Linked DNA regions of Neurospora crassa OR74A. The protein of the gene in region 1 purifies or fractionates together with the protein of each later gene. This does not show direct contact. Links are inferred from orthologs where the notes say so. Each region holds a gene or a part of one and is shown in the gene's direction. Other genes may lie near its edges. The genes, in order: NCU02572, NCU01184, NCU00417, NCU11357 and NCU06921.

Region 1 (4,115 bases):
TCTGCATTGCCAGTCATGATGGTCTGGGCGCCAAGGATGATGGCCTTCATGCCGGAAGCGCACACCTTGTTGACGGTGGTGGCAACCACCTTGTTCGAGAGACCGGCCTTCAGGGCGCACTGGCGGGCAGGAGCCTGACCGACACTGAGGATAAAGACATGTGGTTAGTATTGTGCTGTTCCAGGGTCGAGTCGCGGCGGCGCGTTCGCTGCGCACAAAGGAATCTATGGCTACGTACCCAGCAGAGAGGACATTGCCAAAGAAGACCTCCTCAACATCCTCGGCCTTGATTTCGGGAACGCGGTCAACGGCAGCTAGAAACAGGAGTGGTTAGCTAAGGACACGTTTCATCTAATACTCCTCTCGAAACCGGTTCTAACCGACGTACACTTGATGGCATGGGCACCGAGCTGAACAGCAGAGAGGCTGGAAAGCTGACTACAAGTTCAGAGATATCAGCAACGCGAAGTTCACGCTTCGTCCCTCCTGTATCGTTCTGACAACAGCTCCAGGTCAGCCGACATGGCGGGGTAGCTTACCCAAGGAAGGACCCCACAGGGGTTCTGGCGGCAGAAACGATGTAGACGGAGGGAAGACCGGTAGACATGATGGCTAGTTTGGAAGCTTGGAGTTGAGGAAAAAGACGGGTTTTGGAATTAAAGATTATGGAATGAAAGCGGGTGAAGCCAGGTAAGAACAGTGAAGATGTGGGAAGCGTTGTTCTAATAAAGCTCAGCCCGTGACTACCAGGATTGTCTTTTGGACGCGGGACAGGATAGGGGAAATTGTTGAGACGACGGGGACCTTGTAGCTGTCACCTCAGGTCTTCTCACCGCCTTCAACGCGAGGTCTTATCAGTCTTTATCCGGAAAAGTGCCGATCTTCAGGAATAAGAGAAATGGACCCTCGCAGACTTTGACAAAGTGGTGTGAGGTGTCCGATGCCGGCGGCAACTGGCTCTCTTCCCATGATACCTCTTGAACCCGTCTTTATAGACTAGGATGTGGCAGCTTGGGCAAGGGGCAGTTGTGGGGGTTTATGGAGTGTTAGAACCCTGAGGGGCACCGCGATGGCCTGGATGGTTTCTGACGTGGTCCGCTGCGGGAATCTGCTTGCATGTCTGCCGTGGACCCGTGGTGCCATCATTGCGAGCAAAGATTTTATCAGATGATCTGATAATGTTGAGCAGTAGATCTGCGCACCAGCCACTTCCTGTGGTCGATGCCGAAGCTAGCGCCACATTGCTAAAACACTAGTCTCTACCATTTAAATGAAGTCTGCCATTTTTTCATTAGTTGCAAGGGACCTCCAAGTTTAGCGCTACACGGTTGAAGCTTGGTCCACTGCGCGCCGCGGCGAGAGTTCACTGGTTGACATCAGCCTTGCGCAAAGACAGCGACGAAAATCCAGCAAACGTTCCAGTCAAGATCTCTGAACTCCCATTGCTCAACAACGCGACAGCTACCCTTTTCGAGACAAAGCGGCTTTGGAGTAACGCTCAATTATCATCGACGATACACGATGGACGACGATTTGTACGACGAGTTCGGAAACTTCATGTACGTATCATGCTATCTCCATGACGTCGTCACGTTGCAGAAGGATGGTCTGTCTGGGCTGTGTTTTGGTCAAGACTCCATCGTCTTTTTGAGGCTAATGTCCAATCTTGCTTACTTTATGATGCTCTCTCCTTCGGCGGTGCTAACCATTGATTCGTAGCGGAGATGCTGAAGCCTCCGAGGAAGAGTCTGAACATGGTGTCGACGCTGGAAACTACGTTTACGATGATTACCCAGAGGAAGCCCCAGAAGCTCCGGCTCAGGAGATGATGGAAGTTGACGATGAAGGCCCCTCCAACGCCGTTGTTCTCCACGAAGACAAGCAGTACTACCCGACAGCCGCACAGGTCTATGGCGAGGGCGTCGAAATTTTGGTTCAAGAGGAGGATGCGCAACCGTTAACACAGCCGATCATCGCCCCTGTCGAGCAAAAAAAGTTCAGCATCGAAGAAGCAGACCTACCTCCCGTATACTTTGACCGCACGTTCATGGCCGATCTCATGAACTTCCCCGAACAAATCCGTAACGTGGCTTTTGCTGGACATCTACACCACGGAAAGACAGCATTCATGGATATGTTGGTGTTAGAGACGCACGACATTGCGGACAAACTTGAGAAGCGAACGGGAAAGAAGCGCGACGAGCAGCTGCGGTACACAGACATTCACATCCTCGAGCGGGAACGTGGGTTATCCATCAAGGCTTCGCCCATGAGCCTGGTCCTCCAAGGAACAAAAGGAAAATCACATCTCTTCAACATGATCGATACGCCAGGTCATGTGGACTTTGTTGACGAAGTTGCGGCTTCGCTCAGGCTTGTGGATGGTGTCTGTTTGGTGGTCGATGTCGTGGAGGGGGTTCAGGTCAACACAGAACAGATCATCAAGCACGCCGTTTTGGAGAACATCCCACTCACCCTCATTGTCAACAAGATGGACCGGTTAATTCTCGAGCTCAAGTTGCCGCCAAACGATGCCTATTACAAACTTAAGCATGTGATCGAAGAAGTCAACACTGTCATTGAGAACACAATTCCAGGCCGAGGTGAGGAGAGGAGGTTAAGTCCAGAGAGAGGAAATGTTCTGTTTGCCTGCACGTCCATGGGCTGGTGTTTCACTCTTCAGTCATTCGCCAAGATGTACTCGGACACGTATGGTGGTGTCAACTCGGAAGAGTTTGCGAGGCGCCTCTGGGGAGACATCTACTTTAACCCGCAAAAGCGAAGTTTCACAAGGAAACCCATCGAAGAAGGAGCTAAGAGGTCCTTTGTCAACTTCATCATGGAGCCGATTTACAAGTTGTACTCGCATACGATTAGCGAAAGTCCGGAAGAACTGAAGGGTACCTTGAAAAAGTTGGGCATTCAGCTCAAGCCATCGCAGTACAAGACTGACCCCAAGGTCTTGTTGAAATTGGTTTGCGAGCAGTTCTTTGGGCCATCTACCGGGTTCGTAGACATGGTCTGTCAGCATATCCCATCGCCGGCTGAGGCTGCAAAGCAAAAGCTCGAACAGTACTACACAGGCCCTCTGGACAGCAAGGTTGCTGAGTCTATGCTGAACTGCGACCAAAATGGCCCGCTTGTGTTGTATGTGTCCAAGCTGTTCAGTGCTCCCGATGCGAAGAGCTTCTATTCGTTTGGCCGTGTGATGAGCGGTATTGCGCGCCCTGGCACAGAGGTCCGCGTGCTTGGCGAGGGTTATTCTATCGACGACGAAGAAGATATGGCCATGGGGAGGATATCCGATGTCTTCATTGCCGAAACACGATACAACATCCCAACCGACGGCGTGCCCGCTGGTAACTGGGTTCTGTTGGGCGGCGTGGACAACTCGATCGTGAAGACTGCCACTATTGTGGAGAAGAAATTTGAGGATGATGAGGACGCCTACATCTTCAAACCTATTTCGCACTTCACCCAGTCCGTCGTTAAGGTTGCTGTCGAGCCCATCAATCCGTCTGAACTACCCAAGATGCTTGACGGCATCAGGAAAATCAACAAGAGCTACCCCCTCATTACCACCAAGGTAGAGGAATCGGGAGAGCATATTATTGTTGGTACTGGCGAGCTATACATGGACTGCGTGTTGCATGACCTACGTCGTCTATATGCCGATATGGAGATCAGGGTATCGGATCCTGTGGTTCGATTCTGCGAGACGGTACAGGACATGTCCGCAACCAAATGCTACGCCATTACCCCCAATAAGAAGAACACCATTACAATGGTGGCGGAGCCATTGGAGGATGGTATCGCGCAGGACATTGAGTCCGGAGCGGTCAGGATTCGGGATCCTGTACGAAAGATCGCCAAATTTTTCGAGGAGAAGTATGGCTGGGATCTCCTTGCAGCCAGGAGTATCTGGGCTTTCGGTCCAGACGAGATGGGACCCAACATCTTGCAGGATGACACCTTACCATCAGAGGTCAGTTGCGAGTTCCTTTCCCATGCTCGGGACACCAGTTGCCGTTCTACCCAGGTTTTTGCGGTGATCGTCGAAACCGGGCCGTCTCTTACTTCCGGGCTACTAACACGATGAACAGGTTGACAAGAAG
Region 2 (4,130 bases), on another chromosome or scaffold:
TCCAGCCCGTTCTTGGGCGGCGTCTGGAAGGTGATCTTCATGCCGCCGGCCTTTTTGGGTTTGAGGTAGATGTTTCTAGGCAAAGGGGGATTATATCGTTAGCGTCGGTAGAAAAGTAACATGGGAAGGGAAAAGGGGGCGTACGGTGGCTCCCGGTTGAGTCTGATGCCTACAGCCTCCAACTCGGCCTCGAGGAGGGCCCTCTGCTCAGCACGTTTTGTGGCGTCCAAAACCATAAGAATCAGATCGCTTGTCTTGGCGGCGGAAATGACCTGTCTTCCTCTACCCTTGCCCTCGGAGGCACCCTCGATGATACCGGGCAAATCGAGCAGCTGGATTTCGGCACCGCCATATTCGAGCACACCGGGAATGGCTGTCAGGGTCGTGAAAGCGTATGAGGCGACTTCGGACTTGGTCTTGGTGACCTTGGATAAGAACGTGGATTTACCGACTGACGGGAAGCCGACCAGTGCTATACGAGCATCACCACTTTTGCTGACGTCGAAACCGGCACCTGGACCGCCGCCCGAGCCCGGCCCTGGCTCGAGTAGTTGAGCGCGGAGACGAGCGAGCTTTCTGTGGATGGGCGTTAGTGAGAGTCAATATCAAGGATCGCTTGGTGTAGACTCACTTACCCCTTCAAGAGACCCAGATGATATTCTTAGTTTGGTTTCACCAGGTCAGCACATGAATGATGTTGGAGACAGGTGATAAAGAGCGTACCAGTTGCCTTGTTCTCTGTTAAAACTTATGTTAGCGTTCATGGCTTTCAGTCAATTTGTTTGCATAGGGACGTGGTCTTACTCTGGGTTTTCCTCATCTCCTCCTCAATCCTTGTATCTTATGGTCAGTTTGACTAACTCCATCAAGTCGAACACGCAGGCACCGTGGAAGCGTCAATGGTGCAGCTTACTCCTTGATCTTTTCCGTAATGTTCACCATCTTGGCGGTTTAGGACAGGTCTGTCCTTGGTATCGCTTTTACAAAAGAAACAAAGACTGAAGCGATATAACTCGAGGTAAACACCAGGCTGGCAAGCTGATGAGAAGTGAATCGGCCCTGAAAGTGAAATTCAAGGTTGATGAATTACACGCTGTAAGGAACAGTAATGTCAAACATATCAGTGCGCACCCCACGTTCCCAAGTGGCAGAATTTCCCGGACAGGAGGGGCAGCAGAAGTGGGTTTTGTCCTTCACCGCTTTTGGAAGACCCATAAAATCTGCGGGAGCGGAGTGGGTCTCTGTCAGCCAAGGTCGGCCCAGGCTTGGAAATTCTCCAAAAGTCCAACACCCCTGGAATCTCGGAAAAGAGTCTGTGCTCTGCGAGTTTGGCCTAGACAACAAATCGTAAACCAAATTCGGCGTCATTGTCTTTTTCCACTTGTCATCGCATTTGCAGCATACGTATCCGCTATCCTCTTTCTACCCTGGCAACAAGACGCGCAACCAAAGGCCAACTGAGTACCGATACTTGCTTTCGAACCAAATCACATCTGGAATCCCAATCCGACATACCATGGCCGAAGTCGATACCAGGCAAGAGGAGCCTGTCTCCGCCGTAATTGAACAAGCGCAAGCCGGAGAAGACGCGACAGACGCGCAGACACAGGAGCTTGCTCTCACCACAACGAACACCGAAGTCGCCGCCCCAACAGAGAAGAAGGTCAAAAAGATCATCCGGCGCAAGAAGAGACCGGCGCGACCTCAAATCGACCCGGCGCTAGTCAAATCCGAGCCGCCCCCGCAGACAGGAACAACGTTCAACATCTGGTACAATAAGTGGTCCGGTGGCGATCGCGAAGACAAATACCTATCCCAAACACACGCAAAGGGAAGATGTAATATCGCCTTGGACACTGGATACACGCGCGCCGACGGAGTAGCAGGATCGTTCTTTTGTCTGTTTTTTGCGAGGGGCGTCTGTCCCAAGGGCCAGGATTGCGAGTACCTCCATCGACTACCTACAATCCACGACATTTTCAACCCCAATGTGGACTGTTTTGGGCGCGACAAATTCAGCGACTATCGTGACGACATGGGCGGTGTGGGCAGCTTTAGCAGGCAAAACCGGACAATTTATATTGGTAGAATCCACGTGACGGAGGACATTGAGGAGATCGTGGCCCGTCACTTTGCCGAATGGGGCCAAATAGAAAGAATACGTGTGCTCAACACGAGAGGTGTGGCGTTCGTCACTTATTCAAATGAGGTAAGCCACGGTTGCTAGCATTTTGCTTGGATGTTGAACTCGGTACTAATTCGCTGGTTACAGGCAAACGCCCAATTCGCCAAGGAAGCAATGGCCCACCAGTCACTAGACCATAACGAGATTCTCAACGTTCGCTGGGCGACAGCGGATCCCAACCCCATGGCGCAGAAACGCGAGGCAAGACGCATCGAGGAGCAAGCCGCCGAAGCCATTCGACGGGCGCTGCCTGCCGCGTATGTTGCCGAGATCGAGGGCAAAGACCCAGAGGCGCGGAAACGGAGGAAGATCGAGAGCAGTTACGGCCTGGAAGGATACGAGGCGCCAGACGAGGTACACTTTGCCCGGGGAAAGAATGCGGTCAACCCAAGGGGTCGCGAAGGGTACGAGCTGGAGGATCAGCAACTGCTCATGCTCGAAGCTGGGGAGGCTGGAGGATGGGGACAGGAGCAGGAGGAAGAGGCATATCCTCAGGAACAACAACAGAGTTCCGGTGGGATCTTGTCTGGTAGCACGCTTGCTGCGCTACAGTCTGCTAGAGTTGCAGTTGCGGCAAAACCGAAAGCACCTGTCTCGGCGGGACCGCTGGTGGCTTATGGTAGTGACGATGACAGCGACTGAGACATAACTGGGAAGAAGTTATTTTGGTAATGATGATAAGAGAATGAGGCAGCAGGAGCCAGTGCATAGATGCCATTTTTGGCCTAGGAAATAATAAGATACCAAGTTAAGAGCGTTTGAACATGTGCCATACAGATTTGTGGCCATGCTTTGACTCCTCCGCCCCCTTTTCCAAGTAAACAAAAACCATTTCCCAATCACAATTCGCCCATGTACCCCTTTTCACCCTCAACTCCCGGTGCCGTCCCCCCAGTCCTCCCCTCCCCAACTCAACTGTTGAAAATCCTCGAATAAAGAACCTCATGCCTACCAATCCACAAATCCATAACCGGCACGCTCTGCCCCGCCTCCTCCACGCCTCTCTCCCACTCCCTCTTCATCAACGCCCCAATCATCTCCTGCACCTGCCTGCTCGCCAGCGTCTTCTGCGCCTGGTAGGGGCCAAACATGCCCGCCCTCACCGCCGCGCTCACCAGCGCCTTCACGTGGCTAAGTAAATAAACGTAAGCTGTCTGCTCGAGCGAGAGCCCGACGAGGGCGCAGATGGCGCCGAAGAGGGGCGGGAGGTGGGCGGAGACGGGTGGAGGGTCGTTCCACCCGCTACTTCTTCCTCCGCCCGATGTCGATGGATTGCTGCTGCTGCTGGTGGTGGTGGTGGTGGTGGAAGACGGTGGTGGCGCCCCTGCAGATCTAAGCAAAGCCGAGAAAGGCTTGAGAATTGCAGCCGCCGCTTCGGCAGAAGTAGACGAAGGCGGTAGCGACGAGGACAGAGAGCGGTCCCAGATGGAAAGCAGCGCTCGGCCCTGGGCGACCGATGCTCGACGGCCGACGGTGCAGACGATGGTTGCGTCGAGGGTGTCGTCTAGCAGGGCGAGCTGGGCTGGGTCGCGGTGGGCGGCGAGGACGTAGGGGAGCGTGGTGGACGCGTAGGAGGAGAGGGAGAGGGGGAGGAAAGAGGTGAAGGAGGGTGGTGGAAGTTTGGTTTTGGGTGGTTTGTTAGTGACAATTGATGTAGAATGCGAAGGGGAAGGAGAAGATTTGTTGTGGGCGAGGTAGGATTCGAGACCGCTGCTGAAGGCGAAGGATCCGAGAGGCAGCGCGGAGTCGGAAAGGAGGAGGAGGAAGTGGTTGGCTGTGGAGTGGAGGATGGTTTGGGACGGGGAGGGGACTGGAGGGTTTGTGTTAGTGAGGGTTTTGTGTTATGATGAGAGTCTTGATCGATGGAGTCGAGTACAAGAAAAGAAAGGGAAGGGTAGAACAAGGTGCAACTCACCTGGTATCACCCCAAGATTGGACTCTTGCA
Region 3 (2,968 bases), on another chromosome or scaffold:
TGCCTAAGCCTCTTGTTTCTCACCTTTCTTTTCATCGTTAATTTTCACCAGCATGGGTAACGGCGTTTTGGGGCTTGAATTGGTAGTAAATCACAAGGGGGAACAAAAAATAGACAAAGGAAAACTCGCTGTGAGTGGCCATCAAGATAAGGGGGGAAGATAAAAGAACAAGCGGCTGCGTCCATGGATGTTCATCTGGCTTGCGTTATATACATAGGCTCTAGAGGAAAGGCTGACATTGATACCCTTCGTTATTACTCTTCTTAGTTGCGACCCTAGATGAAAGAAGAGTATTGTGAGCTACCCGCACAATGAAGTGGCCATCATCAAAGACAAAAGAGCTGCATGTATAGGCTTACCTGCAGGAAGCCATCGATAAAGCTGGAGGGAAGTCTCTTGGCTCCACGGAAGCTCTCCTCGTTGAAGTACGACATCATGTGAGTCGTCTGGCGCCAAAAGTTCATGGTTTCCTGATAGACGCGTGGAGAGTCAGCGTCAAGTTACCAGAACAATCAGTCCGAATCGCCGCGACGCATAACATGCGCCAGCGCTCTGATATTCCCTTCTGACCCCTTGCCTGGAACCCTTTCCCTCTTCTTTTTGGGTGTTCTCCAGATTTTGGACATGACCCCACTGCTGTGCCCGTTTCTGGGGATCCCCTGATTCATGTCCGTGTGGATAGTGACGATGAAGTGGAGCCTTACTTGATAGTCGGCATGGCCCTTTGTGAGCAGAACATCCACCACGGGCAACTTGTTAACGAAGCGGTTGCGCTCGAATTCCTGCCTGATGCGAGTGCGAATGACCGAAATGGGGAGGGGTAGTGAGTACATAGACTGCATCTCGGGTGTCTGTTGTATGTGATATCCTGGTTAGCGAATCCTCGGTCGGGATTGTTCGCACTCCTCCCATTATATACGTCGATATCCAACGTGTTCGTCGAAAGCTGGAAATGCTCGTTCTATGTAGGTTCGCTCGTAACGTACCGAACGAAGCCATCGCCGATAAAGGGCGAACACCCTCCGCTTGGCGTCGCTCCAGTTTGCCGCTACAATGTCCGTCAGAGTTACTCGTTCAGCTTGTACAACTGGGGTCACTTACACTGCCTGGTGGTGATGGCGTACTTGGTAGGTGTGATGGGCATTTTGGGCCAATTCGTGACTTGAGGACCTTTGGAGGTTGTCGCCGTTCCGTTCGCCAGGGTCGGTCGATTCGTCGTTCGCATGACAGCTTGTAGCTTCAGCAGTCGGCTCGGGGTCGGTAGCATCCAGCTAAGCCACAGTTGCTCTTACACACAGAGTGCGGGCGCTGATAGCACTAGCCACAACTACAAGAGGCCAATGACGTTGGCGCCACAATTCCAAGGCGTTTCTGGCAGGCAATTTTGAGCCAGTTCACTGCACTTACGCCGGGGATCACAGCACTCTCCTCTGGTCAGCTCATTAGATTTGAAGTTCTCCATCCTTCAACCGAACAATTGCGATATCACCACACACTCCGATACTCTTCCGAGTATATACGTTAGCGCAACGCAAAACACGTTACTTAAAGCACCGCTTACTAAATCCCGAGGCCGAGGACCAGCGACGACCTCAAAATGCCAGCCATTCGCCCCGCCTCGAAGCGCAAGCCGCCCCCAGAGGGTTTTGCCGACATTGAGGAGGATCTGCTCATCTTCGCCAACAAGATGAAGGACGCACAGAACGCCCCGACGGACAACATACCCAAGCACCAGGCCAAATGGCCTATCTTCCAGATCTCGCACCAGCGGAGCCGGTACATCTATGAGCTCTACTACGAAAAAGAGGCCATCAGCAAGCAGCTGTACGAGTGGCTGCTCAAGAATGGATACGCGGACGCGATGCTGATCGCCAAGTGGAAGAAGAACGGCTACGAGAAGCTCTGCTGCCTGCGCTGCATACAGACCAAGGAGACCAACTTCAACTCGACGTGCATCTGCCGCGTGCCCAAGGCCGAGCTGAAGGAGGGCCAGGATGTGCAGTGCGTGAGCTGTGGGTGCAGAGGGTGTGCTACTGGTGATTGAAGAGGAGGAGGCACGGATTTGAGGTTATAAAATTGAAAAGGGACGGCAGGGACAAGCAACTTTTTTCAAGGCTGAGATGTGGTGGAGAAACAATGAGAAGCCAGGGGCCGACGAACGGCTGTTCAGCGCCGCGATAATGATACCAACAACATCTCTTTGTCGAGCACGCATCGGGAGAGGGAAGAGGCGTTCACGGGGAGAGGGTAAGATAAGATGCTTTCTCCTTTGCAGAGCTATGTTTGACGCTTACTGTTGAGGGAGCAGATTGAACAAACATACGAACACGTTATGTCATGATATCATGGAATGTGAGGACCGTATCAGTATGTTCTCGCTACAGATGTGCAATAATATGTTTCAGCTGCCCAGTACTAATGGAATTGGTTTGCCCAAGCCTTACCACATCTCGTTTTTGCACTTCCTCTGTTGTCACCTTTTGGCGAATCCAGTCTTTCCTCCACGACCACGACCAAATCTGACACTGGAGGGTACGAACTGCAGTGCAGACATCTTGCCTACCAAGTCTCCCATATCCACGTCAGCCGGCTCCTCAACGGCCTCCTCGTGCGGTTGGTCTGTCATCTCAGCATCGGGTTTCGTCGATGTTGGAGTGGGCTCGGGCCGATCTACTTCCATCCGCTCCTTCATTTCTGATGGAGGCTTTGACTTGGAGTTGACCTTTGGGTCGGAAGAGCTGGCATGTGTTTCCGCTGCCGATGGCTTGTGGACCCGTTTCTGTTTCGGCCGCCGTTCATCCAACAACATCGACTGCCGCCCGTCAATACCGTGCAGTGTCACCGCGAAGAAGAAATTCTTTGGGTACATGTGCTTATCAATGAGATGCATCCGTCGCTTTTGGGGGGTCATGCATTTCCTTTCGCAACCTTCCACGAAGCAGGAGTACTGGAACGTTCGTTAGTGGCA
Region 4 (4,023 bases), on another chromosome or scaffold:
CAAAGATACGAGCCATCAGTCCCACCTCACTCACTCTCTCACCATCTCATCCGGAGACAGCGGCACCTCCCGCACCAAAACATCCAAGATGGCCCAGCCCATCACCCTCACCTACCTAACCGTCGACGTCTTCACCTCCACCCGCTACCTAGGCAACCCCCTAGCCGTAGTCCTCACCCCCGCCTCTTTTCGTTCTCATCTCACCCAAGACGTCAAACAGCTCATCGCCCGCGAATTCAACTTCTCCGAGACCGTCTTTCTGCACACGCTCGACGACGAAGCGCGCGATGGCTTGACTTCCACCAGTCGGGAAATCGACATCTTCACCATCGAGGAAGAACTTCCCTTTGCCGGACATCCCACTGTCGGAACGGCGTACCTCGTGCTAAACCATTTGGGGTGGAAGCATGTGGACACGCTTGTTACCAAGGCCGGACCGATTACGATCAGACCGACGTCCGAAGGAAGGGTGAAGGCTACGATTCCGCATGCTGTGCGTATTCATAAGCAGACGTTGGGCGGGATTCTGGATGGAAAGGGAGGGGAGGTGAAGAAGGAGACAAGGGAGATGATTGAGGCTGCGCTGTCCGAGGACCCAGAGATAAGACAAGCGGAGTTAAATGGCCCGGTAGTTAGTATCGTGCGGGGAATGACGTTTTTGTTGGTAAAACTGCCGAGTTTGGAACATTTGGCGAAGGTGTCGACGGCGAAAAGGCTGGATTTTAGTAAGGTGGAGGGGTTGTTGGATAAGGGGGAGTGGGAGCGCGGGTTTGTGTCCAGGTATTATTATGTGCCGATGGAGAGGGAGAAAGAGAGTGAAAATGGGAGGAAGGAGTTCAAGTTTAGGACGAGGATGGTGGAGTTGGGATTTGAAGATCCGGCGACGGGTAGTGCGGCGTGTACGCTGGCGAGCTATTTGACGGTTAGTGGGAGGGAGATGGGAGGGGCGAGGTTTGAGTTGACGCAGGGCGTGGAGATGGGGAGGCAGAGTGAGATTGAGGTGGAGACGACGGCGGTGGAGGGGGAGAATGGGGAGGCGAAGGTGAAGGATTTGTATCTGGGAGGGACGGCGGTGGTGGTTACGAAGGGAAGTATCTATGTGTAGTGGATTTGCTATTGAGTTGAATGTGATGCTGTCTACATTGTAGATGTTGTGAGAAGTGGCATGGTGTTGAGTCGAAAATGACGAGTAAAAGATACATTGCCAAAGTACCTCCCAAACGTCCATAGTCATTTATGCAACATGATTGGTCACTTACCGTAGTATGCGGCTCGGTGTGGCTCAAGCTTGGCAGATGGTTCTCTGCCTGCCGCCAAACCTCCAAGTACCTCTAGCGTCGTCCAGCTCCAGGCCGTCGCCTGCCTGCTGTCTGTGCTAGCTGGCTGGCCGTGGCGCGTTGCAACAAAAAAGTTGGAGGACGACATTGACATCGCGACTTGAACCAAACAACCCATTTTACAGATTTTGCATTGCAGTCATATTATCAAGATGCTTTGCGCCCGTATGTCACAGCTCTAATCTACCGTTGCGCGACGCTGTGCTAACCGATTGACGCAGTATCCGGAGAGGTTCCCGAGGAGCCTGTTGTCTCGAGAAAGACCGGTACGCGCACTCTTCGTCATTGTTGTCACCATCACCGAGATCCCACCATTCCCACCGCTTCTGTTCCCACCAAGCCACACCAGATGCTTCCACGACAGGCCGAAATGCGATGCCATACTAACACATCCCAGGCGCCGTCTTCGAGAAGCGATTGATCGAAAAGTACATCCAAGAGAACCACAAAGAACCCGGCACCGATGAAGAGCTAGACGTCGAAGACCTCCTCCCCATCAAGACAAATCGGATCGTCCGCCCCCGCCCCCCGCAATTCACATCCCTCCCATCCATGCTCAAGGCCTTCCAAGACGAGTGGGACGCCCTGGTACTAGAGTCATACAACACGAGGCAACAACTGGCGAGGACAAGGGAGGAATTGGCCACGGCGCTCTACCAGAACGATGCCGCCGTTCGCGTGATTGCTCGCTTGACCAAGGAGCGTGATGAGGCCCGCGAGGCCCTTTCCAGACTCACAGTTACGGCTTCTGCTGGCGGTGCCGCAACTGGTGACGCTATGGCGGTAGACAGCGAGGGTCTGCCCGAGGCGTTGGCTGCACATGTTGATGAGGTTCAGGCCGAGTACGTTTACCGCGCTCCGTCATCTCGAAAAGTTGAATGCTGACAATTCACCGATCTACAGAAAGCAAAAGGGCCGCAAGAAGCGACCAGTCCCCGAAGGCTGGGCCACCACAGAAGACATTTCCGCTCTGCAACAAACCGCCTACACAGATCTCCCCGTCACACAAGCGACCTCGCTCGCTCTCAACGGTGGTTATGCGGCGGTTGGTGGATTGGACGGCAAGGTGGATCTCTACTCGGTTGAGGCCAAGGCACACGAACGCTCTTTGGAGGTTGGCGAGCCGGTGACTGCTACGGTGTGGATCGGCAACAAGGTCGTCTCGGCCACTTCGAAGGGCAGTGTCAAGGCTGTTGAGGGCGGTGTCGAGACTGGTTCTGTTACGGAGCACGCCGGTGCCGTGACGGGCTTGGCGGTGCACCCTGGCGAGCAGATTCTTGCTTCTGTGGGCGTGGATAAGGGCATCATCTTTTACGATTTGCAGTCGCTGCAGCGTGTAGCGCGTGTCTATACTGACGCTGGTATGTACCCTTTCACCACCCGCCTCACAGTCTCAAGTTACTAATATGAACAAACAGAACTCACATCCTGCGCCTTCCACCCCGACGGCCACCTCTTCGCCGCCGGCACGCAATCCGGCCAGATCGAGATCTTCGACACCAAGACTCTCCAGCGCATGGCCAACTTCACCCTCGGCGCCCCCGTCAAGACCCTCGTCTTCTCCGAAAACGGCTTCTGGTTCGCCGCTACGGGCGTCGGCCAGTCCTCTGTCACCATCTTCGACCTGCGCAAGGAAGGCGACGCCGCGCGGGCCAAGGAGCTCCAAACCGGTGACGTCTCCGGCCTTGCCTGGGATTACACGGGTCAGTACCTCGCCACTGCCGGATCGCAGGGCGTTACGGTGCAGCAGTATGTCAAGGCTAGCAAGTCGTGGACGGAGCCGTTGAGGACAAGCACGCCGGCTGTGGCGGTGCAGTGGGGAGACAAGGCGAGGCAGTTGGTGGCTGTCAGCAAAGAGGGCGTAGTTTCGGTGTTGGAGCCGAAGAGCGAGTAGGATCGCATTGGAAAATACGAAAAGTCGGACTCGGAGACGGTCTAGGTGGGGTTGGCTTTGGAAGACCAAAGAAGATTAAAGTGATGGGCTAGAGGAGCGAAAGGGGAGATCGGGGTTTATTGGTAGGCGTTAGCTCCTGATGAGAGGGCTCAATACCGGTCTGCCCAGTATGACGCAAAACATAAAGAGCTTATAAAGTAATTCATTGGTTTATCTGGACTCGAGCGTGAAAAAGATATTTGATGAACAGGTCTAGTGTAGACTTGAGCGGCGGGAGCATGTTGTTTTAAAGAGCATATCTGTCTTGAAGTCTTCACTTCTGATGATACCGAAGCAAAACGGGGAAATTCTGCGGTGATACTGTTGTATGGCTTCACCTCCGTATTTCGTGATCTCAACTTTGGCAGTGCCTGCGTTCCAACAGCTTCCATATCACGGTCCATCATCAGACCCTGAAAGAGCTCACGACGAGAACAGGGGATAGTGCAACCTGATAGGCTGACAGCTGTTTGTTCCTGAATGCCCGAATCGGGATGCAGGTAAGGTAGTGTACAATTGGACCCCTATGTCTGACTGTTAAGGATGCAGCGTTGTAACAGGCTCTTCTTGCCCGCAGTACTGCTAAGGTACTAACAGAGGCACATTAAGCATGGTCAACGTCAAGTCACCATAGGAACTTGTGAAAGACACCAACCGAGGTGTTGATGAATGACCTTGTGCTTCAGTTTTAGAAAACAAGCACAACGAACGACTTCCCCCGTGCCGGTTACCTAGGTACCGTAGAAACTCGGT
Region 5 (3,975 bases), on another chromosome or scaffold:
ACAAGAAGGTATGTCATCAGCTCAACACAACCAACCGCGTCCGCTGTGGTGGAGCTTCAAGAACTGCTTCTAACCGATCTGCGCGCTCTCTAGGAATCTTTCACTAAGCTCGGCTTCCATCTCATTCTGTTCTTCTTTTACTTGTACAGCATGATTGTGGCCCTCATTCGGGACGAGGCTCATTAGGAAATGGCCGTCGCTCGCTAAGTTGAACTGGACTTCTCGTTTCACAACGATACCGCCACAAAGTCCGTCGGATCGGACGCGGAGCTCTCTCATCGGAGCTCGTGCTCGCATCTTTACCACCACCGTTTTCTCGAAAGTACATAACGGCGCTGGGCACACTGGTACGCAGTACTTCAAACACACACAAACAAAAAATATATACAGTACAACGACAGGCAAGCAAGCAGGCAGGCAGGATCCTCGGCGACGGATGCTGCAAAAGGACGGGAAGGGTTCATGAGCGTAACATACGACGACTTTGACAGATGGCATGGGAGGGCACGAAGCTATGAAGAGATGGCGGGAATGATTATATTATTGGATGGCGGGAGAAGAGGAGGACGAATTGTATGGTCTTGGCTTCTATAATGAAGAGGAAAAGCGACTGACGGGCTTCGGGAAGGTGGCAACTGCCTTGCTGTACGCCTCGGTTGGCATGACAGCTGGATAGACGGGGCAAAAGGAAATGATGAAAAAGAGTTTACGACCTCTTCAGCGGTACCAATTGGGTGTACGCAGGTGAGGAGAGGGAGAAATCGCGTGCTGTATTTTACTGCTTCCTAAAGTATGTAATGAAACGGGACGGGCTACGTCATGAAGATCATGGTCTGTTGCTGTCTTGTCAAATGTCAACACCGAGGGAAGGCAACGCGGGCCACATATGGAGAACCACGAACATGACTTTTTGATCCATAGACATTGGGCGCGTTGTTGGAATATGTACTCTCTTAGCAAGCTGTTGTCGTCCTACCAAGATGGAACCGAATATTCGGGTCATTGAACACTCTTTGTACTGCATAGTAGAGAGGCAAGCCAGAAACAATAGAGCTTGGCTCAACGCTGATCATTGTCAGCCCCTCCCTCACAAGCAAGCTGAGTCTCAGCTCCAAAGCTTGGTCCTTGCTCAACCAGAGTGCGACAGCAACCCGGTAAGTGGGTGGTATATGGCCCGTGCGCGCGTATATCGTAGAAGCTCCACTCTGAATTTGAGTTCCACTGTTCCAGACGTCAACCAATGCGCCCGGCCTGCCGCCAACGACTCCAAGAGGGTCGCATCCCATCTTCATCTCCAAAACAACAAAAACAACAAAACAAAAAAAACATTTTCAGGTTCATCAAGCGTGCGGCTGGCGAGCATACCATCACCACAATTTCATCAAGCCGCAGCAGAACTAAACATAATCCAAATAGCCATGGCCGACTTCAATGAATACCCAGCAAACCTGTCAGTCAAAGACGCCCTCATCGTCCGCCAAGTCGCCGAACCAGACCATGCCGTTGTCCCCTACACCGGCGAGGATCTAAGCCGACCGCGACTCGGGCCCGCCAACCCCTTCCGTGACGATACCGACTCGACTTCCACTGCGGTCGGCACCAAGAGGAAGAACGTCCTGACCGGTACTGCGGCCGAGACTTACATCAGCGAACACACTTTTCGCTCCAAGCACCGCGCCATCGAGCGCGGCGGTGGTCCCGCGCGCGAACAATTGGGGAGTACTGCCAAGAAGGCGGCGGCTGCAAAGCTGAGGCAACAGAGAGAGGGGAAAGGAAGCGCGACGATTGCGGATGGCGATGGGGCCTACGTCGGGCCATGGGCGCGGTACAAGAAGCAGGAATATGAGGAGGTGAATGAAGAGGAGCTGGGGAGTGGTGAGGAATATGAGATTGTCGAAGAAGAAGAAGGGGAGGAAGAGGAAGACGTGGTAGAGAGCGGGACGGTCGTCAAGGCGCCGACGAAGAACCTGGCGCGCAGGAAAGAGGTGGAAGAGCAGGGCGCGGAGACGACGACGTTCCATGGCACCGAGGAATTCGATTACCTTGGCCGGACATACATGCACGTCCCGCAGGATCTGGATATCAGTCTCACCAAGGACGTCGGGAGCGTCACGAACTTCATCCCCAAGAAGCACATGCATACATGGAGGCACCATGCCGGCAAGCCGATCACGGCGTTGCAGTTGTTTCCCAAGTCAAGTCACTTGGGTCTGTCGGGCAGCACGGACAGCACCATCAAGATCTTCGATGTCTATCGCAATCGCGAGCTGTTGCGGACGTATGCGGGCCATTCGAAGGCTATCACCGACTTGTCGTTTAACAGAGACGGCACCAAGTTCCTATCGGGCTCGTTCGACAGATGGATCAAGTTGTGGGACACAGAGACGGGACAATGTGTCAACAGGTTCAACACGGGCAAGACACCGCATGTCATCAAGTTCAACCCGTCGGTGGATCAGGGTCACGAGTTCTTGGCGGGCTTGTCGGATAACAGGATTGTGCAATACGACAGTCGTGCGGGAGCGGATCCAGTGCAGGAGTACGATCACCACTTGGGCGCCATCAACACCCTCGAATTCGTGGACGAGAACAGGCGGTTCATGTCGACGTCAGATGACCGCTCGTTGAGAGTATGGGAGTATGGAATTCCAGTCGAGATCAAGACTATCAGGTATGTCTTCTCTTTTTTTTCTTCCTCCCATTTTTATTCTCCTTACCAAAAGTAATCACATGCTAACATTTTCTCTAGTGAACCCGACATGTTCGCCCTCACCAAATCCACCCAGCACCCCTCGGGCAAATACGTCCTCTACCAATGCTCCGACAACTCCATCGTCGCCTACTCATCGGCCTCGGACAAGTTCCGCCAAAACCGCAAGAAGTCCTGGCGCGGCCACAACACCGCCGGCTCCGGCATCGGGCTGGTCTGCAGTCCCGACGGGCAGTTTGTCGCTTCGGGCGATACCGGAGGATACGTCTGCTTCTGGGACTGGAAGACGTGCAAGATGTACCACAAGATCCACGCGGACACGAGCGGGGGGGCGATCAACTGTGTGGCTTGGTCGGAGCAGGAGACGAGTAAGGTGTTTACGGCGGGGGCGAAGGGTGAGATTAGGATGTGGGATTAGACACTGTCCGGTCTCGTGGGTCATTGTGTGAAATTGGGCCATTGCTGAGGGATTTTGATGGCTGTCCTCAGGGATGACGATAGAGGAAGAAGATTGGAGCGTCGCGTCTCAGGTGAAAGCAGGCAAAGAACGAGCGACCGGAAAAAGATATTTACAGCATTGCTTGGCGTTGGGAGAAACATTTCGGTACTAATGGGATTGGACTGGCTTTTCAAGTGCAAAGACTTGATTTTGGAGCAGCAGCAGACACCAATCAAGACACCGGCGAACAGCCGATATTGATCATCCATTCCCGGACTTAATTCGTCTTGACTCAGTCGATTGAACTATATACTGGACGTGCACTGAAAATATGACAGTGGCTGGTCGACCGAGTATCTTTGTTGTAATCAATCGAAGTGCCGACGACTATCCCCTCTACATCACGGCGTCGAGGCTTACTTCCCAAGAAACCATGAACGTTACACTGCAGCCAAGTGTCTTTGGATTATTCGGCTGTTCATATTGGTCTGGTTATGTTACCCTCGCTGCCGCTGGTTATTCAAATGAACATTATCTATCATCTTGTGCACCGCACCGCTCAAGTTTACTTGTACCCTTCATGCAATTCCGGTTCTTCTGCAGCTATAACACCATTGTCGGAGTCATTGTTTTGCGCATCTTCCTCATACCCGTGGGTGTGTGTGGTTGGCTCATAGTGCCACCCGCTTTGGAAGAAAAAAAAAACACCGCCAAAGGATTCTCATCAAAACCAAAATACCTCCTTTCGTAAAGAACGAGGGGGTAGTTTCTATCTACTACGTAACTTAAAGAGAAAGAAAGAAAGATAAAAGGACAAAATGAGTTC

Evidence for each region.
Region 2: the proteins of NCU02572 (region 1) and NCU01184 purify together in Schizosaccharomyces pombe (affinity purification with mass spectrometry; 3 studies listed by BioGRID, with this or other methods). This does not show direct contact. The link is inferred for Neurospora crassa OR74A from reciprocal best matches to the Schizosaccharomyces pombe genes cwf10 and cwf2.
Region 3: the proteins of NCU02572 (region 1) and NCU00417 purify together in Schizosaccharomyces pombe (affinity purification with mass spectrometry; 3 studies listed by BioGRID, with this or other methods). This does not show direct contact. The link is inferred for Neurospora crassa OR74A from reciprocal best matches to the Schizosaccharomyces pombe genes cwf10 and cwf14.
Region 4: the proteins of NCU02572 (region 1) and NCU11357 purify together in Schizosaccharomyces pombe (affinity purification with mass spectrometry; 3 studies listed by BioGRID, with this or other methods). This does not show direct contact. The link is inferred for Neurospora crassa OR74A from reciprocal best matches to the Schizosaccharomyces pombe genes cwf10 and prp19.
Region 5: the proteins of NCU02572 (region 1) and NCU06921 purify together in Schizosaccharomyces pombe (affinity purification with mass spectrometry; 3 studies listed by BioGRID, with this or other methods). This does not show direct contact. The link is inferred for Neurospora crassa OR74A from reciprocal best matches to the Schizosaccharomyces pombe genes cwf10 and prp17.

Annotation. Positions count from the first base shown.
Region 1 is NC_026501.1:2,767,216-2,771,330, forward strand, and holds the start of NCU02572 (U5 small nuclear ribonucleoprotein component), read left to right. Parts: upstream 1-1,312; 5' UTR 1,313-1,521; coding exon 1,522-1,559; intron 1,560-1,719; coding exon 1,720-3,985; intron 3,986-4,103; coding exon 4,104-4,115. Other genes in the region: NCU02571 (acetyl-CoA acetyltransferase), read right to left, coding at 1-144, 239-314, 389-438, 540-607. UniProt on the Schizosaccharomyces pombe protein: Component of the U5 snRNP complex required for pre-mRNA splicing. Binds GTP.
Region 2 is NC_026505.1:3,161,334-3,165,463, forward strand, and holds NCU01184 (pre-mRNA splicing factor cwc2), read left to right. Parts: upstream 1-1,326; 5' UTR 1,327-1,516; coding exon 1,517-2,209; intron 2,210-2,272; coding exon 2,273-2,827; 3' UTR 2,828-3,096; downstream 3,097-4,130. Other genes in the region: NCU01183 (GTP-binding protein 1), read right to left, coding at 1-75, 145-576, 636-660, 724-738, 805-833, 914-942; NCU01185 (urease accessory protein UreF), read right to left, coding at 3,097-3,995, 4,101-4,130. UniProt on the Schizosaccharomyces pombe protein: Involved in the first step of pre-mRNA splicing. Required for cell growth and cell cycle control. Plays a role in the levels of the U1, U4, U5 and U6 snRNAs and the maintenance of the U4/U6 snRNA complex.
Region 3 is NC_026503.1:3,780,413-3,783,380, reverse strand, and holds NCU00417 (cell cycle control protein cwf14), read left to right. Parts: upstream 1-1,458; 5' UTR 1,459-1,597; coding exon 1,598-2,044; 3' UTR 2,045-2,367; exon of another isoform or gene 2,368-2,438; 3' UTR 2,439-2,462; downstream 2,463-2,968. Other genes in the region: NCU00419 (DNA-directed RNA polymerase I and III polypeptide), read left to right, coding at 1-7; nuo14.8 (NADH:ubiquinone oxidoreductase 14.8kD subunit), read right to left, coding at 264-275, 360-470, 705-851, 987-1,048, 1,102-1,225; NCU00416 (C2H2 type zinc finger domain-containing protein), read right to left, coding at 2,474-2,947. UniProt on the Schizosaccharomyces pombe protein: Involved in mRNA splicing where it associates with cdc5 and the other cwf proteins as part of the spliceosome.
Region 4 is NC_026503.1:540,490-544,512, forward strand, and holds NCU11357 (cell cycle control protein), read left to right. Parts: upstream 1-1,361; 5' UTR 1,362-1,489; coding exon 1,490-1,502; intron 1,503-1,558; coding exon 1,559-1,603; intron 1,604-1,734; coding exon 1,735-2,179; intron 2,180-2,240; coding exon 2,241-2,698; intron 2,699-2,755; coding exon 2,756-3,231; 3' UTR 3,232-3,521; downstream 3,522-4,023. Other genes in the region: NCU11356 (phenazine biosynthesis PhzC/PhzF protein), read left to right, coding at 89-1,105. UniProt on the Schizosaccharomyces pombe protein: Probable ubiquitin-protein ligase involved in pre-mRNA splicing. May also function in DNA repair.
Region 5 is NC_026507.1:771,751-775,725, reverse strand, and holds NCU06921 (mRNA splicing factor), read left to right. Parts: upstream 1-1,251; 5' UTR 1,252-1,418; coding exon 1,419-2,671; intron 2,672-2,749; coding exon 2,750-3,128; 3' UTR 3,129-3,467; downstream 3,468-3,975. Other genes in the region: NCU06922 (endosomal cargo receptor), read left to right, coding at 1-8, 94-186.